2 linked regions of the Caenorhabditis elegans genome follow. The protein of the gene in region 1 interacts with the protein of each later gene in a pairwise test. Each region holds a gene or a part of one and is shown in the gene's direction. Other genes may lie near its edges.

Evidence for each region.
Region 2: the proteins of ZK813.2 (region 1) and efk-1 interact in a two-hybrid assay, tested with the Caenorhabditis elegans proteins (one large-scale study listed by BioGRID).

The regions. Positions count from the first base shown.
Region 1 is NC_003284.9:3,442,270-3,444,990, forward strand, and holds ZK813.2 (Neuropeptide-Like Protein), read left to right. Parts: upstream 1-1,556; coding exon 1,557-1,922; downstream 1,923-2,721. Other genes in the region: ZK813.3 (FIP (Fungus-Induced Protein) Related), read left to right, coding at 1-102; ZK813.7 (Neuropeptide-Like Protein), read left to right, coding at 2,545-2,721.
Region 2 is NC_003281.10:6,164,196-6,170,380, reverse strand, and holds efk-1 (Eukaryotic elongation factor 2 kinase), read left to right. Parts: upstream 1-1,833; 5' UTR 1,834-1,850; coding exon 1,851-1,910; intron 1,911-1,996; coding exon 1,997-3,073; intron 3,074-3,126; coding exon 3,127-3,862; intron 3,863-3,916; coding exon 3,917-3,940; intron 3,941-4,085; coding exon 4,086-4,230; intron 4,231-4,827; coding exon 4,828-5,092; 3' UTR 5,093-5,475; downstream 5,476-6,185. Other genes in the region: F42A10.9 (Gamma-glutamylcyclotransferase family protein), read right to left, coding at 1,692-1,790, 5,482-5,578, 5,638-5,729. UniProt on the Caenorhabditis elegans protein: Phosphorylates elongation factor-2 (eEF-2) at two threonine residues that are conserved in all eukaryotes and are located within a GTP-binding domain. Calcium(2+)/calmodulin dependent activity.

The DNA.
Region 1 (2,721 bases):
TACAGAGCCCCAGCTCAAAATTCCTATGGTGGAGCAGCTCAAGATCCACCAGCGCAAAGTGGTTATGGAGACCCAGCTCAAGATACCCAATCTGGTTATTGAAACTTGTATTTTTGATAAAGTGTTGGTATATTTCTGAATTGATTCTTATTGTATAACTTAAACCTGTCTTAATGAATGCTTGGAAGCAACTTCTTCGAAATTTTTTAGAACTGTCTCATTACAGGGCAAAAGTTTAGCCATAAAATGTTCCATACGGAAAGTATCTTCACCGATGGAGTCGATGGATGCAACATTCCTTATGAAAACTTGGTTCAGTTTTGTTGACTTTCAGAATAATGGGTTGATATTTAATACATAAACTTCTAGTTAGTTTAATTGAAAAATGGCATGTAGTACTACTGTTGTTTCAGTTTCAGTTTTGCTTCCTGCTTGATAGCTCAAACAATTAGATTTTTAGATTAATAGATTTTTTTTTAATTTTTGAATGACTACTTACAGATTTAAAGTCATGTTAAAAACTTTAAATTTGTACAAAACTCGCATTGAAGATTAAAAAATATCAAAACGTTATTAACGTTTTCTTAAAGCATACCAGGTCCAGTCGCCGGTGTAATGCGGACTAGAATACCAAACGCCGAAAATAATAATCACTGCTCCCTTCTGTTTTATTCACGGTTCTCTTTCGCGATGATAAATATGGTTAAAATATGTTTTTAAAAAAGTTATTTAATTAAACTTATTGATTTAAAATACGCTTAAAGGTGGAGTAGCGCCAGTGGGGATTTTGTCTAAATGCACTTATAATGATCCAAAACATTCGAATATCATAATAAAACACTCCAAAAAATTTAAGATTTTCATAATTTCCGGTCAAAGTTGTGTCAAATTGCCAACATTTTGAAAAATACGAGCTTTTGAGGTAATTTAAATAAATGCCGCATGTTTCGACCCCTACAACTTCTAAATACAAATAATTTAAACAAAATTTTAAAAAAAATGTCGAAAAAAAAATTTTTCTGGTTGACTTCCAAAACTATGAGTGGCAAAAACTGAGTAACTGCCACTTTTTGACAGTAAATAAAAAATTTTCAAAAATTTTTTGAAATGTTATATCATGATATTTGGTCATTTTGGGACCGAAGGAGTGGTTCTTAGCAATTTCCCCACTGGCGCTACTCCACCAAAATTTCCAAAATTCCACCAAAATTTCAAAAATGAAGCCTCAAAAAAATTTCAAAATTTTTTTAGGTGGTCCAAGTTTTGGAAAGAATGAGCTAGCTAAATCAGATATTTTGCGAAAGTTTGTTTCTATTTTTTCACTGAAAAAAGTTTCGCTCCGCCTTGTATTCAGTTTTTTTCTTTCAAGAAAAACTTAAAGTGCAGAACAAAAACCTTTGTGACCAATGTTGATTCACCCTAATCACATTTTTTTTCTTTTTGAACTTGATCGCCCGCCTTCAGTTTCCTTTCTTTTTCATGAATATAGATTTTATAACAAAAACAATGAACAAGTATAAATAAAAAGCAGGTAACAGAAAGAAGTACCGTCAGAAATGAAACTGCTCCTTTTCACCTTTGCCTTATTATTCTTTTTTGTGTCCGCCGATGATTACGATGATTACAAAGATAACCGTGAAGCCTCGTGGGAGTACGAAAGCATTGATAGCATCCATGGATATGTTACCAGTAAGGCGTATCCGCGAAAAAACAGATCAGCTTCAAACTCCAACTCCCGCTCTCATGAGCCATCTGATTTGAAACCTGCTGGCTTTGGTTTTTCTCAACATAGGTCAATCAGAAGATCAAGCGAATCACACGAAGGGAGAAGACACAGTTCACCAAATCCACCCAATCAGCAGCTACCTGCAAATTTTCCAAAAATATCGTCAACTTCTGAAAGCCACGACAGAAGCAGATAACACGATAATTTTCAGTTCAATCAATTTGCTGAACTCAGATAAATGTGATTCTGAAATAAATGACTAACTTGACTCTCTAACTTTTTCAGTATTAAATTTGAAAAAAACAAGAGATTTTATGGATTCGTAGTACTTTCATCCTGTTTAAAATCTAACACCGTATTCTCTCTGCTTGTTTATGGTATTGGTTGTGTAACTTATTTATAAACGTATGCAGGAAAGTACCAACATGATGTATTTTTTTCTGTGAAACTCTGAACTTTGTTTATTTACATAAATCACGAGAAATAGCCAAAACGTACAGTCATAATTTTTCCCCCAAAATCAGTAACAATGTTGGTTTTGCTACAGTATTTTCGAATTCTCCGTTCAATTTTCATAAGCTCTCTGGATTATATAATTTTATCTAAAAACGACGTTTTTTAAAAGAAAATGATTAAATCTGTCAAAAACTTATTGTGCAGAACAAAAACTTTTGGGACCAATGTTGAATCATCCGAATTTGTTTTTTCTAGGCTTGATTGCCTTTTTTTGTTTTCCTTTTCAAGATTATAAATTTTATTTTTTAAACAAAAACCCAGTATATATAGACAACAGAGGAAAGGAAGATGCATCGTTAGAAATGAAAGTGCTCATTTTTGCCTCCGCATTACTATTCCTTTTCGTGTCGGCTAATAAAGACACCGAGCCCCTCTTTGGCACTATTGACACTTGGGGATATGTACAGTCACGGATGCTCCACCATCGAGAAGAAAGATCAGCTTCCAACTCTCACTCACGTTCACACGAATCATCTGAA
Region 2 (6,185 bases), on another chromosome or scaffold:
AACACCAAGTGGTCCCAACCATTCATCCATCCAAGTCAAATGTGCACACCCATCTCTTTTCGGTTTACACTCTGTCTGTTTCTCTAAATCTCTCATTCTTCATCATTGTCTCTCCTTCTTCTCCTTTCTCCATTCTTCTGGGTGCCTCTAGGCCTTTCTCGATTTTCCATTTCTTCACGTAGTTTTCTCCCAGTTTTTCCGTCGGTCTTTTTTCAACTTCAGAGAGTCTACTGATTCCTGTTTCTATTTTAAAGTGCTAGTGATAAATGTCTGAGAGATATTGGTCACATTTGACCTATTACATTCGGCTCGGTCAGATTGAAGTTTCAAGGAAATCAGAATATTTCATTTTTATATTCCAAGAATCTACTCAACCAGATGATTTATTATGTTCATTAAAAATAATAGGATTGGTTTCTCATTGATATATTATTCACCATCTGCCCTTTTTATCAAATCACAAAAAATCATTTTTATCTTTAATGTCTAACTGTAAGTACAAAAACGTGCAAAACTGAAAAACTTAAAATTGAAAGTAATTTTCGATTTTTTGTTCTTTTGATTTTTTAATCTTTGATCTTGAAAATTTTCCTCGACGTTTCTCGAATGTTCCTTCAAAAAATATTACCCATTATAATTTATGAGCTTTTTTCTTTCTCTATTTATTCCTATCGGGCCCGATATCGGGGAGGATTTTAGATTTTTTAAAAAATAATTTTATAGAACTTTTGAAGATACCTCTAAATGCCTACAATACTTACAAAATATGAAATAGTTTTTGTTTCTTTTCAAAATGCATAATCTCATTTATAAAAATGATTTATAAAACACAATTTACGGACTTTAATCCAAAATCGTATGTTTTCCATTGAAAAAGATAATATCTTCCGAATCTGGTTCTCGATCCTCGTAATTCTCTATTTACCCAACTCTTCTCTACACACAAATCACTGGATTATAGACTAAAAACCTAAAAATGCTCGAAATAGAAAACTTCTGCAGTTTGAATCTTAAAATTGTTCTAAAAGTGAATACGAATTTCATAAATCTCAATTATCAATTATCAGAAACAAATATTCAGAAAATAATTGGAAAACCTTTAATAATTTTCAATTATTACTTCTAATGGTCGTTTCAGAATGTTATTTTTAAAAATCGATTTCTTTTCACTGAGATCAAATTTACTTTTGGATCCATTTTTTACGAATGCATAATAAACATATTGTTATTACATCCAAAAATTTCCATAAAAAGCTCTCAGCTGACCAGCACGTGACGCATCTCGATGGAACAGAAATCAAACTGTTTATATGTTTGTTTGCTTCTCTTTTCTCTATCATCTGCTTTCAAGTATTCTTTCATTCGACACGTTCTCCCCCCGTTGTCGCTTTAATTCATGCTCGTTTTTTGTTGGGTGTGATTAGATGAGTAGTGTCTGGGCCTGACATAGAAAACAAGACCTTTGACTTGCCTTGAGTTCTGATACGATACCTGGTCTCAACGCGACCAAAAAATTTCAGCGCAAACAAGAGAGTGCGCCTTTAAAAAGTACGGTAGTTCTCCACGTCCAGTTTTTCCCAATTTCATAGATTTTACACTTTAAATCTTTTTCGCAACTAGGTAATATCGTTTTTTAAGAATAAAAACATCTACAGTAGGAAATCAAACAGAACCTTTTTTATCTGACTTACCTCAACTTTCTTTCTATCGTACAATGTTGGGTAGGCTTCCAACTCATCGAGCACCTTCAATTTCTTCTCGCAAACTTCATACATTTCTCCTTCAATGTTCTGAAAAAATTTGGATTAATTATTTACAAAATAGTTGTTTCAGTAGTCAAACTGGGCAAAATGACGATCGACACAACAAATGAGAGCGACAATAGTCCAACTAACTCACCAGGATTGGAGGTGGGATTTTTGAAAACAATTCTTTAACAAAATTAAATTTATTTAATTAAAATTCAATTAAACAAACTACAATTTTTACTTTCAAGGCCTCGGCTCGGACATTCTCGCTCAATGCGTCAAAAATGGTTCGGATAACCGACGACTACGCAGATGAAGTGTTCATTGAACAGAATGATGTCGTTATCGAGAAGCCTCGTATGGATCCTCTCCACGTTAGAAAACTTATGGAGACATGGCGCAAGGCTGCTCGCCGAGCAAGAACAAACTATATAGATCCATGGGATGAGTTCAACATCCACGAGTATCCAGTACAACGAGCTAAACGATATAGGTATTCTGCAATCAGAAAGCAATGGACAGAGGATATAGTCGATGTGAGACTTCATCCGGACAGTTTTGCACGTGGAGCCATGCGAGAATGCTACCGACTCAAAAAGTGCTCCAAGCACGGAACAAGTCAAGATTGGAGCAGCAACTATGTCGCAAAAAGATACATTTGTCAAGTCGATCGTAGAGTTCTTTTCGATGATGTCAGACTTCAGATGGATGCCAAATTATGGGCTGAAGAATATAATCGGTATAATCCACCGAAGAAAATTGATATTGTTCAAATGTGTGTCATTGAGATGATTGATGTAAAAGGTTCTCCACTCTATCATTTGGAGCATTTCATCGAGGGAAAATATATAAAATACAATTCAAACTCAGGATTTGTATCAAATGCAGCTCGTCTTACACCACAAGCATTTTCTCACTTCACCTTCGAACGTTCTGGTCATCAAATGATGGTTGTCGATATTCAAGGAGTTGGTGATCTTTACACAGATCCTCAGATTCATACAGTTGTGGGAACTGATTATGGAGATGGAAACCTCGGAACTCGTGGAATGGCTCTTTTCTTCCATTCACACAGATGTAACGATATTTGTGAGACAATGGATCTATCAAATTTCGAACTTTCGCCACCTGAAATCGAGGCTACCGAAGTTGCGATGGAAGTAGCTGCAAAGCAGAAAAAGTCATGCATAGTTCCTCCAACTGTGTTCGAAGCAAGAAGAAATCGAATTTCAAGTGAATGTGTACATGTCGAGCATGGTATTTCGATGGATCAATTGAGAAAAAGGAAGACGTTGAATCAATCGTCAACCGATTTGTCAGCAAAGGTGAAAGAAACATTTAAAAAAGTTCTAACGTATTCTATTTTTATATTTTTCAGAGTCACAACGAAGACTGTGTATGTCCTGAGTGTATTCCAGTTGTTGAGCAACTCTGTGAGCCTTGCTCCGAAGATGAAGAGGACGAAGAAGAAGACTATCCAAGAAGTGAAAAAAGTGGAAATAGTCAGAAAAGTCGACGTAGTAGAATGAGCATTTCAACGAGATCTTCTGGCGATGAATCAGCATCTCGTCCTAGAAAATGCGGATTTGTAGATTTAAACTCACTTCGTCAGAGACATGATAGCTTCAGAAGTTCTGTTGGGACATATTCTATGAATAGTTCTAGACAAACCAGAGACACTGAAAAGGATGAATTCTGGAAGGTTCTTCGAAAACAATCAGTTCCAGCAAACATTCTATCACTTCAACTTCAACAAATGGCTGCTAACCTGGAAAATGATGAAGACGTACCACAAGTCACCGGGCATCAGTTCTCTGTCCTCGGTCAGATTCATATTGATCTCTCACGATATCATGAGCTCGGGCGGTTCGTAGAAGTTGATTCAGAACATAAGGAAATGCTTGAGGGAAGTGAAAATGACGCTCGTGTACCAATCAAATACGACAAGCAGTCTGCAATTTTCCATTTGGATATCGCTCGGAAGTGTGGAATCCTTGAGGCTGTGCTAACATCGGCTCATATTGTTCTCGGATTACCACATGAATTGTTGAAAGAAGTCACCGTTGATGATCTGTTTCCTAATGGGTTTGGAGAACAGGAAAATGGAATTCGAGGTGAGCTTTTTTTGTTAATTTTTCTCTTTTAAATCTGAAATTCCAACTTTTCAGCTGATAAAGGACAAAAACCTTGTGGTAAGAATCAAGTTTTCTCGTGTGTGCTTTTTAAAAATTATTTTGTGATTTCCCAATTTAACCTTTCGTGTTGTTTCCTTTTTTGAAAGATTCAATCCTAGTGTTCTCAGCATCCCGTATTTTATCAAAATTCAAAAATTTTCAGACCTAGAAGAGTTCGGCTCCGATCTGATGGAAATTGCTGCAGAGATGGGTGATAAGGGTGCAATGCTGTACATGGCACACGCTTATGAAACTGGTCAGCATCTCGGACCGAATCGAAGAACGGATTATAAGAAATCGATTGATTGGTAAGAAATTTATGAGATTCTAGTGAAGATACAGTAACCCGACTTTATAGAGAATACTTTTAAGAAACCTAAAAAAGCTAAAATGTTTGATGCTATAGCTTCTAATTTTTTTTAATTGAAAATTTTTTCGAATAGCCGGAAAATTGAAAATCGAAAAAAAAGATTTAGAATGTAATTAACAGATTTGAAATTTCATCAAACTTTGTTTGTTTCGATGGAAATTTTTTTTCTTCTAAATAAAAATTTCAATTTACGAAAAAAAAAATCAAAAAACGAAGATTTTCGATTTTTTGAAATTTGAATTTTTGAACATTTAGGAAATTTGGAAATTGAAATTGAAATTTTTTAATCGAAAATTTTTTAAAATTCGAATAGAAGTACCCGTCTCTGATTCATTTTTTATAAGAAAAATTGTGAAAAACCAGAAAAACTAGGAACCTTCAAAAAATATGTTCAGAAAAAACTAAATCTACTTGTTGTATTTTTCAAAAAGAAAATCATATATGACCTATTTGCGATTTTTATTCTGGACTTCTTGGATGATTTTGTTCCTTAACATTTTTTCTATAAACTTGAGAAATATTCTAAATTTTGTAGGTATCAACGCGTCGTTGGATTCCAAGAAGAAGAAGAACTTGACTCTGATTGTGGAAAAACGACATTCTCCTCATTTGCTCCACTGACTCGTCACGAGATTCTAGCCAAAATGGCTGAAATGTACAAAGAGGGAGGTTATGGCCTGAATCAAGACTTCGAACGAGCATATGGTCTATTCAATGAAGCTGCTGAAGCAGCAATGGAAGCAATGAATGGAAAGCTCGCAAATAAATACTATGAAAAAGCGGAAATGTGTGGAGAATGATTCTTGAATTCCCCTTTCTTCAATCCTCAATGTATATCCTTTTTTCTGGTATAATGTACATTATTGTTTGTTTTTTTTTTCATATTAGTTAGTATCCCCATCCCCTACAATTTTTAGTTTCCCCCTGTCACAGTCCCCGGATTCAAGGAAAGAAAAAAATTTCAAAGATTTTGAATACCAAAAAAATTTCGGATCTAAACAAGTTTTTGGCATTTATACTCCCTTTAAACCGTGCGCATAATCATTTTTCTGTTTCTTTCTTTAAAATTTCCTTATTCATCTTTGTTTCCCTGCCAAAGCTGATTCCGTTCTCGTTCTTTTTTTTTAATTACTTGTCAATATGCTTCAAAGTACGTCGGTTTAAATAAACTTCAGGTTGTAAAACTCACATTTCCATTCCCAGCATCATCAAGCAAAAATGGAATGTTATATTTGGTTCCAACTACCAATGGGAACTTTTCCACTGTAGTTCCAGATGAGATGAATCTGAAAGAAGTAATGCATCACATTTGACACTCAAAATTCTTCAGTACTCCCGAACTTACCGATATTCTCCGTCAGTTTCTGACAGAACCTTGTAGTTTGGCTCTCCTGTTTTCAGGGTTCCATACACGAAAACCTTGAATTTTTCGCCCATTTTTGCTGGAAATGAATTAATAAATTACAGATTTTTTCATTATTTTAAGTTAATAAAAAAACATTTAAAAAAAATCTGTATTCATCAATCATTCGATATGTATATTTACACAATATGCCTTTCGGAAAAAAGAAGAAAAATACGCGTTTTTGTCTTGCCACGAAAGATTATTGATTGAAAAATGGCAAAAGGGTGTGGAAAAATCAATAAACTGAATGAGCACAAAATGGGGTTATCTCTTATCGGGATGGGGAAAAACTGAAGAAAAAAAAGGAAAATCGGTTCATAAATGGCCATAAAGTTTCTTATCACATTCCATCAAAAGCTTGTGCTCGTTGTCGTGGAGTTCCTCGCATACTCTGAAATTATAAGAAAATTATAATTGGAAAATGAGAAGAATAATCAATCAATACCACACTAATGTTCATTTCAAAATTTGAAAAATCACAACAAAAT